Linked DNA regions of Oryza sativa Japonica Group. Each later gene encodes a partner of the first gene's protein in a complex. Links are inferred from orthologs where the notes say so. Each region holds a gene or a part of one and is shown in the gene's direction. Other genes may lie near its edges. The genes, in order: eukaryotic translation initiation factor 3 subunit A and eukaryotic translation initiation factor 3 subunit K.

The links.
Region 2: eukaryotic translation initiation factor 3 subunit A (region 1) and eukaryotic translation initiation factor 3 subunit K share a complex: the UniProt entries of both Arabidopsis thaliana proteins name them as parts of the eukaryotic translation initiation factor 3 (eIF-3) complex. The link is inferred for Oryza sativa Japonica Group from reciprocal best matches to the Arabidopsis thaliana genes EIF3A and EIF3K.

What each region holds. Positions count from the first base shown.
Region 1 is NC_089035.1:1,175,641-1,186,153, reverse strand, and holds the end of eukaryotic translation initiation factor 3 subunit A, read left to right. Parts: intron 1-239; coding exon 240-721; intron 722-1,351; coding exon 1,352-1,567; intron 1,568-1,649; coding exon 1,650-2,018; intron 2,019-2,107; coding exon 2,108-2,137; intron 2,138-2,358; coding exon 2,359-2,586; intron 2,587-2,695; coding exon 2,696-2,857; intron 2,858-3,748; coding exon 3,749-3,970; intron 3,971-4,042; coding exon 4,043-4,252; intron 4,253-4,753; coding exon 4,754-4,957; intron 4,958-5,046; coding exon 5,047-5,127; intron 5,128-5,507; coding exon 5,508-5,709; intron 5,710-6,235; coding exon 6,236-6,744; 3' UTR 6,745-7,027; downstream 7,028-10,513. Other genes in the region: uncharacterized protein, read left to right, coding at 9,162-10,019. UniProt on the Arabidopsis thaliana protein: RNA-binding component of the eukaryotic translation initiation factor 3 (eIF-3) complex, which is involved in protein synthesis of a specialized repertoire of mRNAs and, together with other initiation factors, stimulates binding of mRNA and methionyl-tRNAi to the 40S ribosome.
Region 2 is NC_089037.1:4,346,964-4,358,603, reverse strand, and holds eukaryotic translation initiation factor 3 subunit K, read left to right. Parts: upstream 1-5,236; 5' UTR 5,237-5,370; coding exon 5,371-5,478; intron 5,479-6,182; coding exon 6,183-6,239; intron 6,240-6,325; coding exon 6,326-6,376; intron 6,377-6,473; coding exon 6,474-6,536; intron 6,537-6,958; coding exon 6,959-7,009; intron 7,010-7,091; coding exon 7,092-7,158; intron 7,159-7,696; coding exon 7,697-7,779; intron 7,780-8,036; coding exon 8,037-8,237; 3' UTR 8,238-8,502; downstream 8,503-11,640. Other genes in the region: ethylene-responsive transcription factor RAP2-12, read left to right, coding at 2,290-2,563, 2,679-3,101, 3,549-3,832; 40S ribosomal protein SA, read left to right, coding at 9,142-9,286, 9,686-9,948, 10,038-10,235, 10,340-10,520, 10,772-10,902. UniProt on the Arabidopsis thaliana protein: Component of the eukaryotic translation initiation factor 3 (eIF-3) complex, which is involved in protein synthesis of a specialized repertoire of mRNAs and, together with other initiation factors, stimulates binding of mRNA and methionyl-tRNAi to the 40S ribosome.

The sequences.
Region 1 (10,513 bases):
CCCTTTGGATCTGTTATGTTTATTTAGGGGACCAGTTTTCACTGTTTTGTAAGCATGGAATTCGAAAAGAGCGGTGTTTGATTCCTCCCGTCATAGACAAATTAACAGACCATGGCTGGTCGTTCAATCTTACAGAAATACTTGTTGATTCGTTCGTGCTAGTTCTTAGATGTGTTCAATTATACATACTTCGGAAAACATTTTATTTTTACTGATGATGGCCCTCTGCTCTACTTCAGAGTTGATACATGTTGGGCAGAAGCAGGCAGCGCTACAGGCGTTACATGATCTCATCACTTCAAAAAGATACAGGTCATGGCAAAAGCCACTCGAAAGGATTATGATGAAGTATGTGGAGCTCTGTGTAGACCTGAGGAAGGGCAGGTTTGCGAAAGATGGCCTTATTCAGTACAGGATTGTCTGCCAGCAAGTGAATGTGTCATCCTTGGAGGAGGTGATAAAACACTTCATGCAGCTTTCCAATGAGAAAGCAGAGCAAGCAAGGAACCAGGCGCAAGCACTGGAAGATGCCCTGGATGTAGAAGATCTGGAAGCAGACAAGCGGCCTGAGGATTTGATGCTCAGCTATGTCAGCGGGGAGAAAGGGAAGGACCGATCAGACAGAGAGCATGTCACACCATGGTTCAAGTTTCTCTGGGAAACATACAGAACAGTTCTTGAGATATTGAGAAACAATTCAAAGCTTGAAGCATTATATGCTGTAAGCTATTCTATCTGTGTTCCCCTTATTCCTGTATACATACTCTTCACACATGACATGGCATTTCATCTGGCTGTTCCATTTTGTGTACACAATCAATGATCTTAATCGTGATTGCCTCGATGCTGCGCTTCTGCCCGTCTAGTGTCTTCAAAACAATAATGTGAATAAACACACCTAATTCACCGCTCTACTGCCATACCACCAATTGGATTTCCTTCTAGTGCTATTATAGTACTCTTGGTCATCATTGTTCAATCACATTATCATATGCTGTATTATTAGAGTTCCTACTTTAACTGCTTCATATTTTTCCTATGTCATCTAATAAAATAGTTGTACACTATGTCATTATCACATTATTATGGCTTAATTTGGTAATGGTGCCAGAAGTTTAACATGATGATTCAATTACCATAATTGCATTCTCTCTGCACTATGTCTGTTTATATTTATGCAGATCTCTGTGTAATTGCCAATTTGGTTTAGGCAGATTTTACTCCTGTTTTTTTCCAGAACCTTAAATAAATTTCTGAATTGTGAAATTGATTTCCTGCACATAGTCTTCTGTACCAAGTACTTTTGCATTTGCCAATGCATCTAAACCCTTTTTAATCTCTCATTTTGCAGATGACTGCTCACAAGGCTTTTCAATTTTGTAAGCAGTATAAGAGAACGACTGAATTCCGTAGGTTGTGCGAGATAATAAGAAATCATCTTGCTAACTTGAACAAATACCGTGACCAGCGAGATCGTCCTGATCTGACTGCCCCAGAAAGCTTACAGCTATACCTGGACACTAGAGTTGAACAACTAAAAATTGCTACAGAGCTCTCTCTCTGGCAGGTCCGTTCCTTATATTTTTTAACCTTTTTTATGCCAAGTGAATCATCTTTGCTGTATGATCGTAAAGCTTTGCTTCTTGCAGGAGGCCTTTAGGTCTGTGGAAGACATCCATGGCTTGATGAGCATGGTGAAGAAAACACCAAAACCATCTGTCCTGGTTGTGTATTATGCCAAGTTGACTGAAATATTCTGGATATCTGATTGCCACTTGTATCATGCATATGCATGGCTTAAGCTATTCTACTTGCAGAAAAGCTACAATAAGAACTTGTCTCAGAAGGACCTTCAATTAATAGCTTCTTCTGTTTTGCTTGCTGCACTTGCCGTGTCACCATATGACCATAAATATGGCGCATCTCATCTTGAGCTTGAAAATGAGAAAGATCGTAATCTGCGGATAGCTAATCTCGTCAACTTCTCCCTTGACTCCAAGCGTGAGAATAGAGAAGTGGTTAGCCCTCCAGATCTTTTTCAAAGCAAAGAATATTTTGAATAATTTTATTTATTATCTTCCTGACATATCTCCTGTCACCATTGCAGCCATCAAGAGCATCTCTTTTTTCTGAGCTGGTATGTGCTGAATCCTGGGTCCTTTTATTTATCAAACTATTCTGTTGAGTTTTGCACTCTCGTCAGTTGTCGATGGGATAGCTGACATGGATAGTTCATTCAATTCTTTTTGTCAGTATTATAGGGTTGGTAGGGTTGTATCCAGTAATTTGTACTCCATTTATCATGCATAATTGAATTTCTCTTCTTGTGCTTGCTTGACTTGATATTTATAAATTTAGGCTGCCAAAGGTGTCATTGCCTGTGCTTCACAAGATGTCAAAGATTTATACAACCTTTTGGAACACGATTTTCTTCCTCTGGATCTCGTATCCAAAGCACAGCCACTGCTATCTAAGATTTCAAAGATTGGAGGGAAGCTTTCATCAGCTCCCTTGGTTCCAGAAGTTTTTCTGTCACAGTACCTTCCTGCTTTGGAGAAGTTAACAACTTTAAGGGTGTTGCAACAGGTATGTTCAATGGCACACTGTACAGGAAGTATAAGTTCTCTTTTCTCATGATCTTTTACGTTATTCTTTGGTTAACACGTGGTTTATGCACCCTTTTGTTCTTTTTCAGGCTTCCCAGATATTTCAGTCTGTGAAAATTGATATGCTCTCAAGAATGATCCCATTCTTTGACTTTTCTGTTGTTGAGAAGATCTCTGTTGATGCCGTGAAACACAATTTTGTTGCTATGAAAGTCAACCATTTATCAGGAGCTGTCCATTTTGGGAAAATGGTATGTGGTTTAGTTCCTCAAGTCTGTTGGCCACTTTAGCCTTCTCAGTGTTCTTATTGGTGGAATTTACTTTTTTATTGTTTTATTTCCCTGTAAGCATCAGTATAGAAGTTGGTTGTTCTGTTCATTGTGGTATGCATATTTATCCTCGCCAAATTATTTCCTCTAAAGTTGAAATATTCATAGAGACCATAGTTTGAACTGATGGCCAAGATACAATTGGTACATGACAACCACTATTTTCATTCACTTTCGACAGCCTTTGTAGTGTAGAACAAAAATGTGTTGACTCAATTGTATATGCTGTCTTACCACTAAGACTTAGGGCATGGTTCTTTGTGCCTCTGTTACAATATTTGTGCTATGTGTTGGAACCAGCAGATCCTTGTGGCAGAGTGTTTTCCATGATAAAATATTGTCAACTTATTTTTGCCACTAACTGGTTCATGTGGCTTGTTTTTACCACTGGGTTTATGGAACTGGCATTTAGCCCTAGGTATATTTGCCAAATCGAGTGTATTGTATGTTATTTGTAATAAAAAAGAAAGTCTGAAGAAAATTCTTGCTTGATTTATTTTGCTTCAGATTTTAAACTAGGTGTCACTGTCGTAGACATTTTTGGTAATCTGGTAATTGTACATAGCTGTAACTCGCATTCTCATTCTCAACATTATATTTAACTATGTTATATTATTTTTTATTTTTTAGATTTTCAAGTGACTATGTAGTGCCTGATGTTGGTATCTTTTGGTTTTAATACGTTCTAGTTTGTTTGCTTTTAATGCCAAATATCAGACAGTACTGGTTCTTGTGCTGTCAATTTCGGGACTTCAGTTTTATTAATTATTAACCTGTGACATCAATTTTATTCTGACTGGTTTCTGTTTGTAGGACATTGAATCTGATTGTCTCAGTAATCACCTAAGTGTTTTGGCTGATTCTCTAAATAAAGCAAGGAGCCTTATCCATCCACCTGTGAAGAAGCCATCCAAGCTTGGTGAAAACTTAACGAGTCTTGCTGCAGTAGTGGAGAATGAGCACAAGCGTCTTCTTGCGAGGAAATCAATTATTGAAAAACGCAAAGAAGATCTTGAGCGCCAAATATTGGAAAAGGTGTCTATTTGGTACTGTTCAAAGTGGCCAACTCTGTGAATTTCTGCTTATGTCATATTCTCTCTTTTCCAGGAAAAGGAAGAAGAAAAAAAGAGATTGAGTGTTCTCAAGAAATCTGCAGAAGATGAAAGGATAAGGCTTCTCAATGATGTAAAATTGAGGGAACAGGAGAGGATCCGTCGACAATTGGTTGAAAAAGAAAAGATAGAGGCAGAAGAACTGCTTCAGAAACAGATAAAGGAGATAGCAAAGAGAGGAGGAAAAAAACCTGTCCTTCAGGGGGTGAGAATAATTAGTTTCCAATCATTATATTTTATTTATTACGCTGACTAGTTATTTGTTGATAATGTTTTTTTTTCTGTTTAATGTATTGCTCAATTTATATTTGCTCGATATTTCATTATATATTTCTTTTTGTGTAAGGCATTATATTTGTTGTGAAGACTTCTGTTTCATCAATATGCTTATTAGTTATGTCTGTTTGTTCAGTCCAATATTGATTCTTTTTTGTCTTAACTGCTCAGAAATTCTAGTGGAGTAGTAGAGGGTGTGCTAATATGCTGTTTTTTATGTTTTGTGGCTAACCATTATAGACTACAAGAACGCAGAACGCAGATGATATTTGAATCTTTATATTCTGTAGTGTCCTACTCTTGTTTCATATTAAGAATTGATTGTCTTCTCCGAAGTCGGAACTATAAAGTTGTACTATCCCAAGCCAATTACAGCTTAATATTTGTTTCTCCACACAGGCCCTTTATACTTTGAATGTTTTCATTGCAGGAAGTTACTAAGGAGGCTGTGATGGAATTGGCTATGAATGAGCAGTTTAAGGAGCGCCAAGAGATGGAGAAAAAACTACAGAAGACTGGTAAGCAAATGGATTACTTGGAGAGGGCAAAAAGGCAGGAAGAGGCACCTCTAATTGAGCAAGCTTTTCAAAAACGCCTTGAAGTAGAGAAAATCCTTCATGAGCAAGAGCAGCTGGTTTGTTTCTCACAATTCCTTGATTGTCACATTACAATAGCATATGATTACTTAAGCTCACAAAAATCACTATTAATCTCTTCTTGTAGAGAGAGATTGAGCTCAGCAAGCAACACCATGCAGGTGACCTGCAGGAGAAGAACAGACTTTCTCGAATGTTGGAGCATAAGGTAAGCAAATACATATCTGTATTCAGACCAGATATTCTTGCACTATTTCATCTTCTTTTTAGTTAATTGAAGGACCAAATGTCCCACTGTAATTAATCCTGTGTTTTTCCGAAACCATGTTTTGCAATTCCAAGCATAACAGTTGAAATACTTAGTATATTATCTGTGCAAAGGTCTGATTAGATACAGATTAATTTAACATATAATATGTGCTATACTTGCTGAGAATCTAATATTGGCATGTCTTCTTTGGCTATGTGTGTGTTCACATGATTTGAGCACTAGACATTTGAATACACCAGGCGATTTGTTCCTGTCAGGGAATAGACAGCTGTCTTCTCTCCTTCGCACATATTTTAAATTGCCCTTTTTGCTTGCAGAACATTTTCCAGGAAAGAATTGTCCAACGTCGTGAAGCTGAGTTTAGTCGTCTTAAGAAAGAGAGGGATGAAAGGACTAGTCAATTGATATCATCAAGGAAGCGTGAAAGGGATACAGTGCGGAAGTTAATGTACTATCTTAACTTAGAAGAGCAGCGCCTCCAAAGGCTCCGTGAGGAAGAGGAAGCTAGAAAACGTGAAGGCAAGAATTCATGACTTTGTGCTTTGAAATACTTGTTCTTATCTTACCTTATTAGATTAGATTAATTTACACTGCCATATATCGTCCAGCTAATTTTGGAATTTCTTGAGAATTAGTGAACATTGCTTGTTGAATTACTGTGACTTTACTGCAGTATGGACCTGTGTTACTTAGGGCCTGTCACTTTGATGCCAAAAAAAACCTTACCAAATTTTGGCATAGCCAAAATTTCGGCAACTTGCCAAAATTTTAGCAGGATTTCTTATATAGTTACCAAAATTTGGCAACAAACTAAATGTAGCCACTTTTCTTGCAACTTTAACAAAATTTGGTAAGATTGAAAATGGCATCAAAGTGAACAAGCCCTTAGACAATGGATAGCTTTAAAACTTAAAATGTTATTTGGCATCAAAGTGTGATTTGCTTGTGCATAATTATCTTGCGGATCTTTTTTTTTTTGCCTGATGCAATGAAATCAAATTCTAGCTTATACATATTGTTGATAATGATTTCACCTTCTCTGCAGAGGAAGAGAGGAGAAAGAGGGAAGAGACTGAGAGGAAGGCTAAGCTGGATGCAATTGCAGCCAAGCAGCTGCAGAGAGAGAGGGAACTAGAAGAGAAGAAGGAAAAACAGAGAATGGAAGCTCTCATGGGAAGAGGAGCTGGAGCTGCTGAGCCTGCACGCACTCCTGATGCTGCTCCGGTTGCACAGCCAGCTCAGCCGGTAGCTGCACCGGCTGCTGCTGCTGCCGCTGCTGCACCAGCTGCTGGTAAGTATGTCCCGAAGTTTAAACGAGGTGGTGATGGTGGCAGTAGTGCTGGCGGCCAGAGACCTGCTGTGGCACCTGAGCAAGACCGTTGGGGTTCACGGGATGATCGCCCACGTCCTGATATGCGTCCGCTCCGCCAAGAGGCACCCCCTGCTCGCGATGCTGCTCCCCCAGCCCGCCAAGATGGTCCTCCAGGCACATGGCGACCTTCAAGATACTCAAGTTCATCATCTTCCTCAACCTGGAGCAGCAGGCGCAACTGAAGCCGTCTGCTTTCAGATGTGGACTGCTAGGGTGAGATTTTTTGCTGTCCAGGGCCATTGCTGAGATAAGCCTGTGAAACATGGTTGAATGTTTGACTGTTTGCGCATCAAATGCTCGTAAAATTTTGGAGTTAGGACCTGCTTCAGGGCAATAGCACCTTTCCTAAGTTATGTCAAATGTTATTTCGTTGTTGCAGTTACTCCATTGCACACTGGATTGCTACTCGTTAAGTTTGTCCAAACTTTGGCGCTGTTAGTAATACTGGAATATTGCCCTTGTCTTTGTGTCTTTGTTCGTTTGGTCGTTGCTACAAGTACATCGCATTTCTTTTGATTATCATCAAACTAATATGACTTGTTGATCTTGATTAACACCAAACTCGGATGAAGCTTTGACGAAGAGTTGGCGGAAACATGAATCATGGTGGTGTACCCCAAGCAGGAACGCACTGCTAGCAGTTGGTAGTTTGATGCACTGGGATTTCGGAGCTCGATTTGCACCGGAAATACAACCTTACCTATCCGCGGTCTCCTACGTTGCTCAAGTAAAGCATTAACGTTCTCCAATGTTGCTCAAGTAAAACATTAACCTTGCATAGAAGTATGAGACTGCCAATCTGTTTGACCTTGCATAGAAGTATGGATGGCAATGAACTGAACTGTACAACATGAAATGCCATCCCTCTACATCATGCCAAAATTCGATGAGTGTTGTCATTTTTGGCATCCCATTGGCTTTGCCCAGTAAATCCATCTGGTAATCAGAAACTCGGAATGGAGTTGGGAGGCAGGATGCGTTCGCTTGTCTCCTTTTATCGCACGTTCTCGATCCAACGGTTCCTGTGAATACCAACATTCTACCACCCCAGTTTCAAATTTTTTTTTTCGAAAGAAAACGAAAAGTGAAAAAAAAAAGAAAGGCGTCGGCAACTTGAGTTGGGCAAAGAGCAAGGTTCCACACGCTGTCACTGCCGTGTGGGCCATCCCCCCCCCCACGCCACGCGCTCTGCTCTTTCTTTATCTAGTCGGTAGGCTCGGTCCACTCCGCCTCTCTCTCTCTCTCTCTTCCTCCTCCGCGCGCCGCCTTACCCCTCTCCTCCTTCCTCGACGCGGCGGCTGCTCCAGATCTTCTCTTCCCCTCGCGGCGGCGTCTCCCGTCCAATCCAGTGAGTTCTCCTCTCCCCCCCCCCCCTCCTCTGCACCGCTTGCTGCATCCATCCACTTCTCTCCTCCCCAACTTTTTTTTTGAATTTTTTTTCTTACTAGATAGATTCGTGGTGAGGGCTTAGATCGCGTGGTGCGGATTGCTCAGGCTCCGGATCTGTACGTATAGACGCGCGAGCCGCGGGAGATTCTGAGTGGGTGGCTAGGTTTTTGTGCTGTGCGTCTAGGGTTTGGGCGCGGTTCGTCCTTGTTCTAGGGTTCCCTCGCAATTCAGATCTGACTCGTCGCTGGAATCTTCGTGGGGCTTCGGTTTTTCAAATTCCGTCGCCTCACCGTTGCCGCGAACACCCCCCCGCTAGGGATGGGAATTGGGCCCAGACTACCTGTGGGCTATGGCTATGCCCCGATATGCTTTTTTGTGCATATATATTCCCATCGAGATCAGGGGGCGACTCGAGAAGTTGCTTGCTGAAAGCTACGTCATATCCGCTACGAATTCACACATTTTCTCTTGTTGTTTCAGGTGAACTATCGGCTCAGTAAAAGGGGAAAAAGGAGGGATCTTTTCTGGACATTTGAAGCTTACGGACGACAAGGTAAGAAAGTGTATATAATTCACATTATGCGCGTCTTTAGTTAACAACAACTCTGCTACCAAGCTGTTTCTACCATCCGTGTTCGTGTAAGGAGTTGTACCCTATACATGTCTCTGGAATTCAAAATTACATCCATCTTTAAACTGGCGCCATATCCAATTCTTTTTTTTTTCTTGGATACATATTAACACCATCTGTGTTGACTGTCTGTAGTCTTTTCTCATCATTTTGGATAAATATTACACCAAAGTCTCTTGTTTATATAGCTATATGAACTCAGAAAGCTGAGAAGCTGCAAGTCTGCTGCTACTAGCAACATGATTTAGATGCTTAGTGGAAGTTTGCTCAAATATTTGAACCGCATAAGCTTGCTTTGCTTTTTACGTGAAGCCTAAACAAGACATTCTATTCTTCTATAGTTGTATTTTGGGGGGATCGATTTCATGTATGCCTGATTTCCAATGTATTTGGATGTCAGTTTTGCCTAGGTTTATTTTATCTATTTTGGGTTCAGCTTATATTTTTGCTGTCTGTTATCATGCTATATTATTCTAGATATTTCAAAAACTAACAGTGATTTTGTCTCTTCTATGAGATGCACCTCCTTGCATCATTTCACGGCCCTACAGGTTTTAAGTCTGTAGCTGATCTGTCGGGATGGACTCCAAGAAGTTCCTACAGCTGCTTGAAGAGAAAAAGAAGAGAATCCTTGAGAAGAAAGAAGCCCCACTGAAATGGGAGCAAAAGCTCGAAGCAGCAGCGAAGGCAAAAGCTGATGCTGAAGCAAAGGAAAAGAAGCTTAAGTCAAGAAAGCACAGAAGGAGGGGCCATTCTTCCTCAGACTCTGAAAGTGATTCCGACAGTGATGGTGATCGGAAGCACAGGAAGAGGAAGGACCGCAAAAGGCACAGGAAACACGGTCACTCTGATTCCGATGAAGCCAAGAGGCACAAGCGCAGATCAAAGAGGAGAAGCTCAGACTCAAGCGATGATACTGATAGTGATGAATATGATAGTGGGTCTGAAGAAGAAAATCGAAGGAAGAAGCGCTCACACAGGAGAAAGCATCGCCGACATTCATCAAGGTCTGATTCTGATGCTTCAGACTATAGCAGCGATGATGAAGAGAGGAGATCTTCCAAGAAGGACCATTCCAGTTCCAGGAGTCACAGGCACCACCACCACCGATCATCTGGTGATGACTCAGGGTCTGAGTCTGAGGAGAGGGGCAGGTCAAGACATAAGAAACATCATAGATCAAGCGATGAGGATGCAACATCAGATTCCAACAACCATAAGCACCGTAGGAGTCGCTCCCTGGAGGAGTCATCCGATGATGCAGCTGCCGGTGAATATGAAAAGGTGAGAAATGGTAAAAGGCCTCACAAGACCGGACACCATCGTCACCACCACCGCCACCACCATCACCATCATGATCACCGTAGCTCTTCTGAACCTAATGACAAGAAGCGGCAAGATGGCCAGAAAGCCCTTGAAGGTGGCAACGTTGATTAAACTCCAGCGGCACTAGTTGAATTGGTTTTTGGCGCGTGAAAAGAATTTTAGTTGTCTTATCTTTTATGTTGGTCACTCTTTATTCCAACGTTGTGGATTCTGACGTTGTACTGATACAAAGTCGGTTCGGTGATTGTGACTTTTATGTCTCGTCGTTTCTTCGTTTCATCTGTGTTGGCTAATTTGAACTTCAGTCGGTGGTTCGAATTGTTCTATTGACTGCTCAAAAAATGAGAACTAAAGATGCTTTCTGCTTAGTACTGGCACAGTTGTGCTATGTTTTACCGTTGTGATGCTGAATTGTAGAAATCAACTCGAATGACTGCTACAGGTACTGGGTTATCGGCTAGTACATTAGTAAATGTCAATGCATGAAAATTTTCATGCATGCTTTACGTCCGCTTTTGTTGCATGCATATAAATTTATGTATGATCGAAAAGAACATTACTCTTTATTTTGTTGATAGTGGGAAGAACAGTTGTATATACATACA
Region 2 (11,640 bases), on another chromosome or scaffold:
AAGATAGCCCAATTCGGTGGTCCATGATTCTCCATTGAAGATTGGATCTACCATTCATTGTTCATTTGTTCTTGATATAAAGTTGTGTTGAGTTTCAAATGGCTACTTGAACCTGTTCCACTATCTGAATAATTTTCCCTGCAGATCCTAAGAAAAAAAAAATAGAATCTTCAATTCTCTTGATGATAATTGTTTTCATGGCTTGGAGGGTTTGCACAAGCTTTTCTTATCCTGGCATAGAACTTTCAGGATCAATAGAAGAAACTGAATAATTAGTACCATCATAACCAGCTCCTAACTTCTTTTACTTGGAGAACTACCAGTTGGCCATGCTTATGGTTGTGGAATTGCAAATAGCCCTAAAAATTTTCCTCTAGCCATTTTGTGGAATTCGGATTTTGGTTCTGAATTCCATCAAACAGATAGAACTCCTCCAATTACCTTCATTTCCATCGAAAAAGACCGGTAGAACGTGACCAACTGCCTATTCACAACACACAAACATTGTGCAAGAATTTGTTAGTACTGAGTGCTCCGTTAACAAAACTTCACCAAAAGCAAAAGAAGAGTATAGATGAACACTCATATACGCTTCCTTTCAAAAACAAAACAGAAATCACTCACATATGAAAACATAGATCACCGATCTCTGCTGAACCAATGCACCCTGATGGAAACAACAGCCTTCAGAGTTCAGAGTTCAGATTTCAGTTCAGACACCCACATTGGACATCATAGTATGCATCTGAAAAAGGAGAGAAAACATGAAATGGATCATCAACTTGGGATGCTATAAGTAGCAAAGAAATGACATGGTGGGGTTACACTGTTACGCTTGATGGCATGAAATCTAAGGGTTTCTAACCCTTTCTGCAAATGAGGACAAACGGCTGGTCTTATACTAGTGTTACTCATGGTTTGATGCTTCCAAATTCTGAACTTTATGCAAGTCTGTGGGAGTATAACCAACCCTGGGTAAACACTAAAGACAGGCTGTGGGCTGAAAGAAGAGCCCATGGTATTCTTTCCTACTGTTTTGTGCTATACTAAAGTATACTCTTTTCATGACAGCATCTACACCGGTTCACATTAGCTCCAACCTATTCTAACAAGATTTTGACAGTATCATTTGGAGGGTATATTCAGAAAACCTTTCTTTGTGCACGTGGATATGATTTTGAGTTTTGTCATAATGCTCACATGCCAGAGAGAGAGAGAGAGATTAAGACATCACTGTGTGTTTTGCCATTGGACATTGGACAGTGTTTGGGCGAGCTCCACATGTTAGTGACTAGACTAAGAGCATTAAGATTTACAATTGTTGTATATTCATTCATATCATCAAATGCTCCTTGAATAGGACTCCTTTGGATTAAAGGCACTTCAAAGGAAATTTGGAGGATTTTATTTCTTCGGAAAATTTCCGTATACTAGCTCATTTAGAACAAAGGGATGCCATTGGTCCATCTCTCATAAACACATAATAAGATCCATGCTGCAGCTGGCTACAAATCTATACTCTAGTATGATTTTCTTCTCTCTCTCTTTTCACATGCGCTTGTAGTTACTCCCCCCGTCCCATTTTAATTGCAGTAGAATAGTGTGGGTTTCTGTATCTAACGTTTGACTGTCCATCTTATTTTAAAAAATTAAATAAAATAAGTCACAAATAAAGTATCATTCATGTTTTATCATATAATAATAATAAAAATATTGTTTATAAAAATATTTCAAATAAAACGGATGATAAAACGTTGCGCGCATAAACCCACAATTACATTTAAAATGGGACAGATGGAGTAGTTTATAGCATGCTATTGTATTTGTTGAACCCTTAATCCCAGAAAATCTCCACATCTACTGAACCTTATAGGTGTGTTTGGCAAATGAGTTATGAGAGGTGTGATTGTTAAAGGGAAATAGATGAATGGCTATAATTAAATGAGGTGAGAAGTATGGATGCTAGTGTACAATATTACCCTATCCTTTTTTTCCCAATAAAGTCTATGTCCTTATCCCAGTAAAGTTCACAACATCGAATATCCAATCAATTTAACCTGCAACCAACTTTTGCCACAATTTTTTTAAGGAGACGAATTGACAACGAGGCAGCCCACAGACTTCGGCGCCCACAAGATCGGGAGATAGCGGCCCACGGAGACTAGACAGCCCATCCCCACATCAGCCAGCGACGGCGACGCCGACGACGACGACTTTTCCTCTATTTACCACTCTCCCGCGTCGCGCCATAGCGACGTCTCTCCCGGAGAAAGAAGAGCGCGCCGCGCCATGTGCGGCGGTGCAATCCTCGCCGATTTCACCCCGGCGAGGGTGCCCCGGCGGCTGACCGCCGCCGAGCTCCTGCCGGTGACCCCGACTCCCCCCGCCGCCGAGAGGAGAACCACCCGGAAGCGCAAGTCCGACGTCGACTTCGAGGCGGAGTTCGAGCTTTTCGAGGACGACGACGACGACGATGAGTTCGAGCTTTCCGACGATGGCGACGAGAGTTTGGCCGTGTCATGTGTGTCGTCCCCCAAGTCGAAGGCAGTACCTTCGTTTTCTTGTACGATGAGATGGAGAAATCTTGCCTGCTTTCTTGAAGGATTTTCACCTGACGGCAACCTGAACTTTACACGATTTCTTCTCCTGCTGTTGATTTCATCGATCGCCGGCGGCAGTTTCGTCGGATGTCTCCTCGAGCTCCAGGCCGCGGCGGCGCGTGGCGGCGGCGGCGGCCGGTCGTCGGAAGGCGAGCAAGAAGAGCAAGTACAGGGGCGTCCGGCGCCGGCCGTCGGGGAGGTTCGCGGCGGAGATCAGGGACCCCAAGAAGGGGCGGCGCGTGTGGCTCGGCACGTACGGCAGCGCCGAGGAGGCCGCCATGGCCTACGACCGCGAGGCCCGCCGCATCCGCGGCAAGGGCGCGAGGCTCAACTTCCCCCGCGACGGCGATGGCTCCCCTCGCCGGAGTAACGACCGGCCCTGCTGGACCATCGACCTCAACCTCCCCGCGGCGGCCGTCTCCGGTGACGACGACGACGCCATGGCCGTCGACGCCGCAGACGCAGACGCAGGCAGTGCTGGCCGTGCAGCAGCCTATGCAGGTACTACCACCTCGGAGGATATCTCAAGATGTATTAATACGTGATATATCACTTTGTAAATATGCATGTTTAAAATTAACTCCTACATCTCAAAATAAAATAAAACAATTTAATTGTGAATATACGTTAACTAGTTATAGTTTAATTTATTTTTTTTTCGTTTTTATTTTTTTCGTTGCGGGAGTAGAAGTTGAATTTGAATTTGCATGTGTGCTGGCGGAGAAACTTGGCTCGTAGGCTCGTAGCATGGAGCATTGCCCTGTTCGCATCATATCATACGGTTGAGCTCGATTTTTGCGAAAGAAAGAAAGGATTCCAATATTCTCACTGATGAATGATGATCAAGGTTGATAAAATGAGCGAACTCGATCAAACCAAACCAACAAATTTCGAAGAATCAAGTAGATTTACTAATGTATTGGCGTTGTTGGCTTGTTGCCGTCGCAGATCAAGAAGCACTGAGCGCGGCAAAGTGCAAGATCAAGCAGTGTCCTCGCGACGAACAGATGGCGAGCGCCACACCTGAGCTCATGGAGGAGGACGCGAGCAGCAGCAGAAACATGGTGCCCCTGTCCATGGCGCTGCAGCTGCAGTATGCGGCGATGATCGCCGAATGCGACCGCGAGATGGAGGAGATCGCCGCCGTGGAGAGGGACCTCGAGAGGCGCAGGAGGCAGGTGTTCGAGCGCAGAGGCCACCTGGTCAGGCAGGCCTCTCTTCTGCTCGACTGACGATCTTGCTGAACTGAACTCTGAATGTTTGAGCTTGTCTGAAGTCTGAACTCTGCACTATGCCATATGGTGTTTCACCTTCACTGTGAGGCTGACATGTGGGCCAGACGTCCGTTTGCCTTGCTTGCTTTTGAGCTGCAACTGGGCGTTGTGCTGCAAGCCTGCAAAGTGCCTGTGTAAAGTTTGTGGGATTGTGTGTGTGGATCTTGTATCCTTGTGACTTTGCAAGCTTTAATTTTGTGAGGAACAATAGTATTTTAGATTGGTGTGTAAAATATAGAAATAAATAATAGTAGCAACTAAATTTTGGTTTTCAGCTCTTCATCAGATGGTTTGTCATGGGAACAAAATTTCAAACATGAGCAAATTAAGGTCATGTTATTATCAATTGTGATAGATTTAATAATTACGTACTACCTCTGTTTCAGGTTATAAGGCTTTCTAGCATTACCCACATTCATATACTCCCTCCGTCTTATAATATAACAACCTAATACCGGATGTGACACTTTATAGTACAACGAATATGGACATGCTTCCTGTCCATATTCATTATACTATGAAGTGTCCCATCTAGTTATAGGTTTCTATATTATGGATGGAGGGAGTATATGTTAATGAATCTAGGCACGTATATATATGTATTGATTCATTAACATATATTTAAATGCGGGTAATGCTAGAAATTATTATAATATGAAACGGAGGAAGTAGGTGATAGGATCGTAAGGATGTTCATCATCTGTATAATTGTCCCGCATGTAAAAAAGACGAAATATAATTCGTGTCATCACATCAATCGTATGTGATTGCTCGAGCGTATTTACTAGTATCAATATCATGGTTCCTACCAAAAATAAATCGTCGTCATGAACTCATGGTACTTTTAATAGATTGGTATCATGGAATGAATAAAATGGATCCACTTTTTTCTAAAGGCTCCTATTTCAATTTTTTTTTTCAAAAGTGGCAAGGCCTTGTTCTTTTCTCCAACAAAAGTTCGATAAAATTTTTGATACACGCTGCACGCTTTTCAACTGCTAAATGGTGTGTTTCGTACGAAAACTTTCTATATGAAAGTTGCTCTCAAATATCAAATTAATCTATTTTTCATCAAGTTTGTATTGATTAAAACTTAACTAATAACACCTCAATACCATCTCGTTTTACATAAAACACTTAATACTATCTTTATCTTCATCTTTAAAAGAAAAGAACACCACCTTTGTTAGGATTAGCAATTCTAGTTGTTGCTTATGCCACACCTTTGGTTATTAGCAGGGGTGTCCATGAAATAACCAAACCTTGGAAGGGCACATGCGCATTTCTACCAGCATCTTTTTGCATCCGCGGCACACGAAGTAGGAGTATAAGGATAGCTGAGGGACTAAAGCGAAAAAATTCGCACGAACCCGAAAACCCTTTTCTCCATCGCCTCCCCCTCCGCCGCGCCGCCACTTCTCTCCTCTCCTCCTCTCGCCGCTCCCAGGGTTTCGCGCGAGATCTACTCTAGCATTCGGGCGTTAGGGTTCCCCGAGATGGCGAGCGAGCAGGCGGCGGAGAGCTACACGGTGGAGGAGCTCGTCGCCGTGAACCCCTACAACCCCGACATCCTCAACGACCTCGAGGGCTTCGTCAACGATCAGGTAAACCCTAGCCATGGGATACTTGCGGCCCCGTTTGATTTTGTTCGTGTGATTGTTGGAATTTTGCGAAGGATTGGTCCGTGGCTGTGCTGAAAAAGCCTCGCGCCTTCTCATGTTTACATGGTCCGCAAATCGTTAAATTCTCCTATGAAAAAAAAAATCCTGATTCATATGCGCTATGGCGATAGCTAGAAATAGCAGTATTTGTGTATTTTTTTCGGGCAGACTGTAGTGGAGCACATCGTTGTGGAGGAGTTGTGAATTAAGCGGCAGCACTTGTAAAGAGAATGGTTGCTGTTTGGTACATCAATAAATCTTATTGTCAGTCATCTCAATGCTAACTGATGGATTTTCAATTGATAATATCTGTTGTCGTTGGTCATGAAAGTGGCAAGATGGAGATTTCGGTCAGATGACACACATTCATATCAATATTTGACATGCTGTTTGGCTTACGATTTATAAAGAAACAAACTCAACAGACCTTTTTTTTGTGCTCTAGCTATTGTGAGTATGTGCATGCATCTTTTGTAGCTCATCTGTTTTATTCCAGCATATAAAGAAACAAACTCAACAGACCTTTTTTTTTGTGCTCTAGCTATTGTGAGTATGTGCATGCATCTTTTGTAGCTCATCTGTTTTATTCCAGCATAAGTTTTTGGTTCTAATGCTTTCAAATTTACCGACCTTTTCTTTTCATATAGGTTTCCAACCAAACATATAACTTGGATGCAAATCTTAGTCTTCTTCGTCTGTACCAGGTGACAGTCCATCTCTGTACAAACCGCTTTTACCCATATTTTGGCTCGAGTTATATGTTTATTTAATGATGCGTTTCCCTTTGCAGTTCGAACCAGAAAGGTTGAGTGTGCAGATTGTATCTCGCATATTGATTAAGGTCAGAAAAGAACTAATGTTAACATTAATAAATAAACAATGGTTTTTTGTTGATCACTTCCAACTGTTTTGCTCTCTTTATGTTGTTCTATTGACAGGCTCTCATGGCAATGCCAGGCCCGGACTTCAGCCTATGCTTATTCTTAATTCCAGAGCATGTGGTACGGAAACAATTCCCTGCCTCATGTATATGTCGCATCAAAAACTATCTATCTAATAAAATGCTATTGCGGATGCATCTTAAATAGTATCGATACCCAGTGATCTATTTGTTTTGGTGGTGATTGCCAAATTGACCCTGAAATAACATTATCATATATGTATGCCTAGAGATGTGCAATGTATATATATAATAACATGTAGTTGATGGAATAAAATCATATTCACCATGGATTTGGAATTTAAATATTTGTGCAAGGGAACAATCTTTGCCCATTTAGTCTTAGATATGTAGATATAACAGACCCGAATACTTTATACATTGTGTTTATTATAGCTGTACATCTAGTTCTTTTATTTGTTGGGCTCTGTTCTCTTATCATGTGAGTTTTGACCACTGTCCTCTATGCTCTTCTTATTTCAGCAAATGGAGGAACAGTTCAAGACGTTGATAGTTCTCTCTCACTACCTGGAGGTATGTATCTGGCTTGACTATTGTATATATGTTGAACAGTTAGTGGGATAACCACTGTTAACCGCAATCAACGTCTTTGTAGACTGCTAGGTTCCGTCAATTTTGGGATGAGGCGTCGAAGAACCGCAACATATTGGATGTTGTTCCAGGTATGTCTTGTGGAATTGGAGCCATGTTTTGTTCACACGTTGTGAAGTGGTAATTGTTGCAAGCTAGATGATTGTACTGGTATTTCCCCCTCCATTTTCCTGATTGATTTGGCCAATTGGGTGTGACTGATAAACTGTACCTTTTCTGATTACTTTATTTCAGCATTTTCTCGCACAACTCATATTTTAGAAAGTAACTTTGTGACTTATCATCGTTTAGACGTTTACCATGTGTTTATGTGGCATGTTCATGCCCGCGTTGTCATGTAAATGAGTATGTATTAGTATCCTAGATGCCCAGAGATTGGTTACCATATCAAGCAGTCTTGAGCGAACTTCTGTTTGATTCTTTCTACTGACTACTGAGGAATTCTTTTTAATCTAACATGAACTACCTATGGATTATTTTTATGAATGTTTGCTATATTGGACACTTTCTTATGGCAATTGATATGGATTCTTTCCGTTTGACCTAATGGTGAAGTGTTTTTTTTTTTTGAAACACTAGTGAAGGCTTACTTAACTAATCCCTTTACAGGTTTTGAGCAGGCAATCCAATCCTATGCGATACATGTGCTCTCCTTGACATACCAGAAAGTTCCTAGGCCTGTTCTTGCGGAGGTAAATGATGTCATTTTAAATTAATTATTACACGAGTCCTCGAGGGAGCATGAGTTTTCATTCAATCCTTTTTGTTTAAACTTTAGATGACCAAGGATTCGTGGTAATATTAAGTTTCATATTACTAATGCTACAAATATTTGTTACGCCAGAAGTGTCACCATCATCATCCAAATTTTGCTATCATTTAGGTGTTATTGGTTGCCTCGCACATGGATTGTCCCTTGTTGGCTGAAACTCATTACTTTTCTTTTCAGGCCATCAACATTGAGGGTCTTGCATTGGACAAGTTCCTGGAGCACCATATTGCAAACTCCGGTTGGGTGATCGAGAAGGGTGCACGATCTCAGCTGATTGTCCTTCCACGCAACGAGTTCAATCACCCTGAGCTCAAGAAGAACACAGCTGAAACTGTTCCGTTCGAGCATGTAACTCGCATATTCCCTGTCCTTAGCTGAGTCAACAACCAGACCAACTGAGATTTTGCATTACAGAACTTCTGAGCGCGTGAAGATACTCTGGGCGCATCTGTTTTCTCTGCTGTGATGTACTGCGTTTTGATATGCCTGTTTTAGCTAAACAAGTCAATTCTAGTGACGATCCGAGCGTCATATCTGCCTAGTTATGTTTATGTAAGCATTCTGCCATGATATTACATTGTTGGCAAGATATTTTATCAGGTCAGAGCAAAATTTTGCATAGCGGCCGTGTTCGGCTTTGGGCACAACTCGATCTTCCATTTACCACGAGACTACAACCATTCCTCGTTGTCAGATTTTTGCGATTGCTAGTGTTCTGTTGCGTAGGGGACTCATTGTGAAAAAAAAAACCCGTATGTGGTCGGTGTAAAAACGGATTGGTTTTAGCCTATTTTTTCGTACGGAGTTGGCTTGTAGTAGTTGCATTTTTTTACCAGTTTTCGTTTAGTTTTCCGCAAAAGTGGGGAGTGGTTTTGACTTCCAAAAACAGGATAATAAACTCTTATTACCACAAGCATCTCTTAGAAAAAACAAATATGTATATCATTTCATCGAGCGAAACAGCTTGGATATCGATTTTTGTTGTCGCTGGCAAAAGAAACCGCCCAAATTCATATTGAGGAAAAAGGAGTAAATTCACATGAACAGGGGGTCTTTCTGCAAAAAGAAAAAAAACTTGGGCCGGCCCATGCACACCCTGCCCAAGGAGAGTCGCTGCCTCACCTAAACGCCAATTAGGGTTTTCAGGGGGGCGGAGATATAATGACATAAAAGCCCCTCTCCTTCCTCCTCCCTTCTCCTTCGCGCCGCCACTCTCTCCGAGCTCTCGCCTCTCCTCCTCCCCCGTCTTCCCTTCGCGCGCGCCACCCCCACACACGCGACCATGGCGGCAGTGGCAGGAGGCGCAGCGCGGGCGCTGTCGCAGGCGGAGCAGGACGTGCAGATGATGCTCGCCGCCGACGTCCACCTCGGCACCAAGAACTGCGACTTCCAGATGGAGCGCTACGTCTACAAGCGCCGCTCCGATGGTACGCATGCACCCACCCCCACCTACAGGCATCTCACCCGGCTCTGCTTGTTCGTCGATGCTCACAGCTAGCCATTACAATGTTCTTGCCATGAGATTTCCTACGTAGGATAGGTTTACCATGTTCTTGCCACTAGATTTCCTAGGTTGGATTGGTGTGGATTGTGCACTTGTATCATAGTGCTCGCCTTTGTTCATGCTTTGTTAGTATCCTAGCTTTAGCTAAGTATCCAACTTGTTGTGAGCTAGAATTATTACGGCATGGTGCTCAACTTGATCTGATTTCGTGTCATATCGTGTGTGGCATAGTTGCATTGCAACCTGTTGCAAGGTATGCTGCTGTTCTTTTGGGAGGGTATCTTGAATATGAATACGTGAACATCGTTGCTGCAATTCATAGGTATCTACATCATCAACCTCGGCAAGACATGGGAGAAGCTGCAGCTCGCGGCGAGGGTGATTGTTGCCATTGAGAACCCCCAGGACATCATTGTCCAGTCGGCCCGCCCCTACGGCCAGCGCGCCGTCCTCAAGTTCGCGCAGTACACTGGCGCGCACGCCATTGCTGGAAGGCATACGCCTGGTACATTTACCAATCAGCTCCAGACCTCCTTCAGCGAGCCCCGTCTGCTCATCCTCACTGACCCAAGGACCGATCACCAGGTGAAAATGATCACCATGTCACGGTAGTGCGTTGGTGAATTGGGTACAGTATTGTTTACTGATCGTGTTATCCTGAATTATGTCTGCAGCCAATCAAGGAGTCTGCTCTGGGAAACATCCCGACCATTGCCTTCTGTGACACCGATTCCCCAATGCGGTATGTCGATATCGGCATCCCGGCCAACAACAAGGGGAGGAACAGCATTGGGTGCCTGTTCTGGCTCTTGGCTAGGATGGTTCTGCAGATGAGGGGTACTATCCTCCCTGGCCACAAGTGGGATGTTATGGTATGCGGTGTTATTACTTCAAGAACACGTTGACATTGGAAGTGCATTCATGAAGATAATTTCATATCCTTTGTATGCTTATACACTGAGTATGTCTTTTGCAGGTTGATCTGTTTTTCTACAGAGACCCTGAGGAGGCCAAGGAGCAGGAGGAGGAAGCTCCAGCACAAGACTTTGCTGCCATCACTGATTACACCGCACCTGAACAATGGTCTGCTGACCAGTGGACCTCTGATGTGGCTGCTCCCCCAGCTGCTACTGTTGGTGATTGGGGCGCAGCTCCAGGTTTGTGGTTTATCCCCTTCTAATATATTTATATTTTTAACCAGGTATATAACTGTTGTGGACCTCTGAATTTTGTTCTTGTGATGCTAAAAATTTCATATCATTGGAATATTCTTGAAAAAAACTGTTGTGCTGATTGCTGCTCATACTGTTAGCAATTGTCTCTTCGTTTTCCTGCATAGGCTGTAAAATTTACATGCCTTAAGCGCTTGTACTAACTTGGAACTGATCATTCTCCCTTTCTGTGGCAGCTCCAGTTGCTGCTGCCGAAGGATGGGATCAAGCAGGAGCACCCGTAGCCACTGAAGCCGCCGTCGTTCCACCGGTTGCGCCTACTGGATGGGACCCGGCAGCTCAACCAGCTGCTCAAGGCTGGGATTAGGCTAGGCAATCACTTTGAGATGTCTTCCGCAGCTTAAGTTAAATATTTCCCGAGGCATGAATGAACACCCAAAATCCAATGTGATCATCTATAGCTACACCATGAACTCAACTGTTTTTAGGAATTTCTAGCTGAACCTGTGTTGTTTGTCCGTCCCTATTTCGAACAACAATGCTGTGAGGGTGAGCTCGGCAAGATGTGTGGTATATGTTAAGCTTTCTACTTTTGTCCTAAGTTTATTCTGTAGCGTTTATATCAATCTTTTCCTCGGTGCAATGGCATGGTTCTATACGCTCAGTTTGTTATTCAAATCTGGTACTTGTACAGTTTGAGAAATGTTGTGCGGAAACAAAAACAATTTCCCAAGACGTGAATGCATTTTATCCCTTCTAATCTCCACCTAAACAGACGTGCTGCCTCACTGAAACTTAGTTCTAAGGGCTCTACTCTACTGATGTACGTGTAAAACAGATTTACCATGCATTTCAAAACCTGAAAAATCCTAGGAAAGAGCAATTTTTTTTGGGGGGGGGGGGTGTATTTCTATTGGTTCAAAATCATATAAACTCAAGGCGTGCAAAGGTTTCCTTGGGCTAATGGACATTGGTCCTCAAGTACAAAGGCAGAAAGGAGCTTGACTGCAAGACTCATCTGTCGAGCAAAGACGAAAGTCGGCCTTGGTGATCCGACGATGCTGAGTGGAAAGGCTGTCGCTCAATGGATAAAAAAGTTTAAATT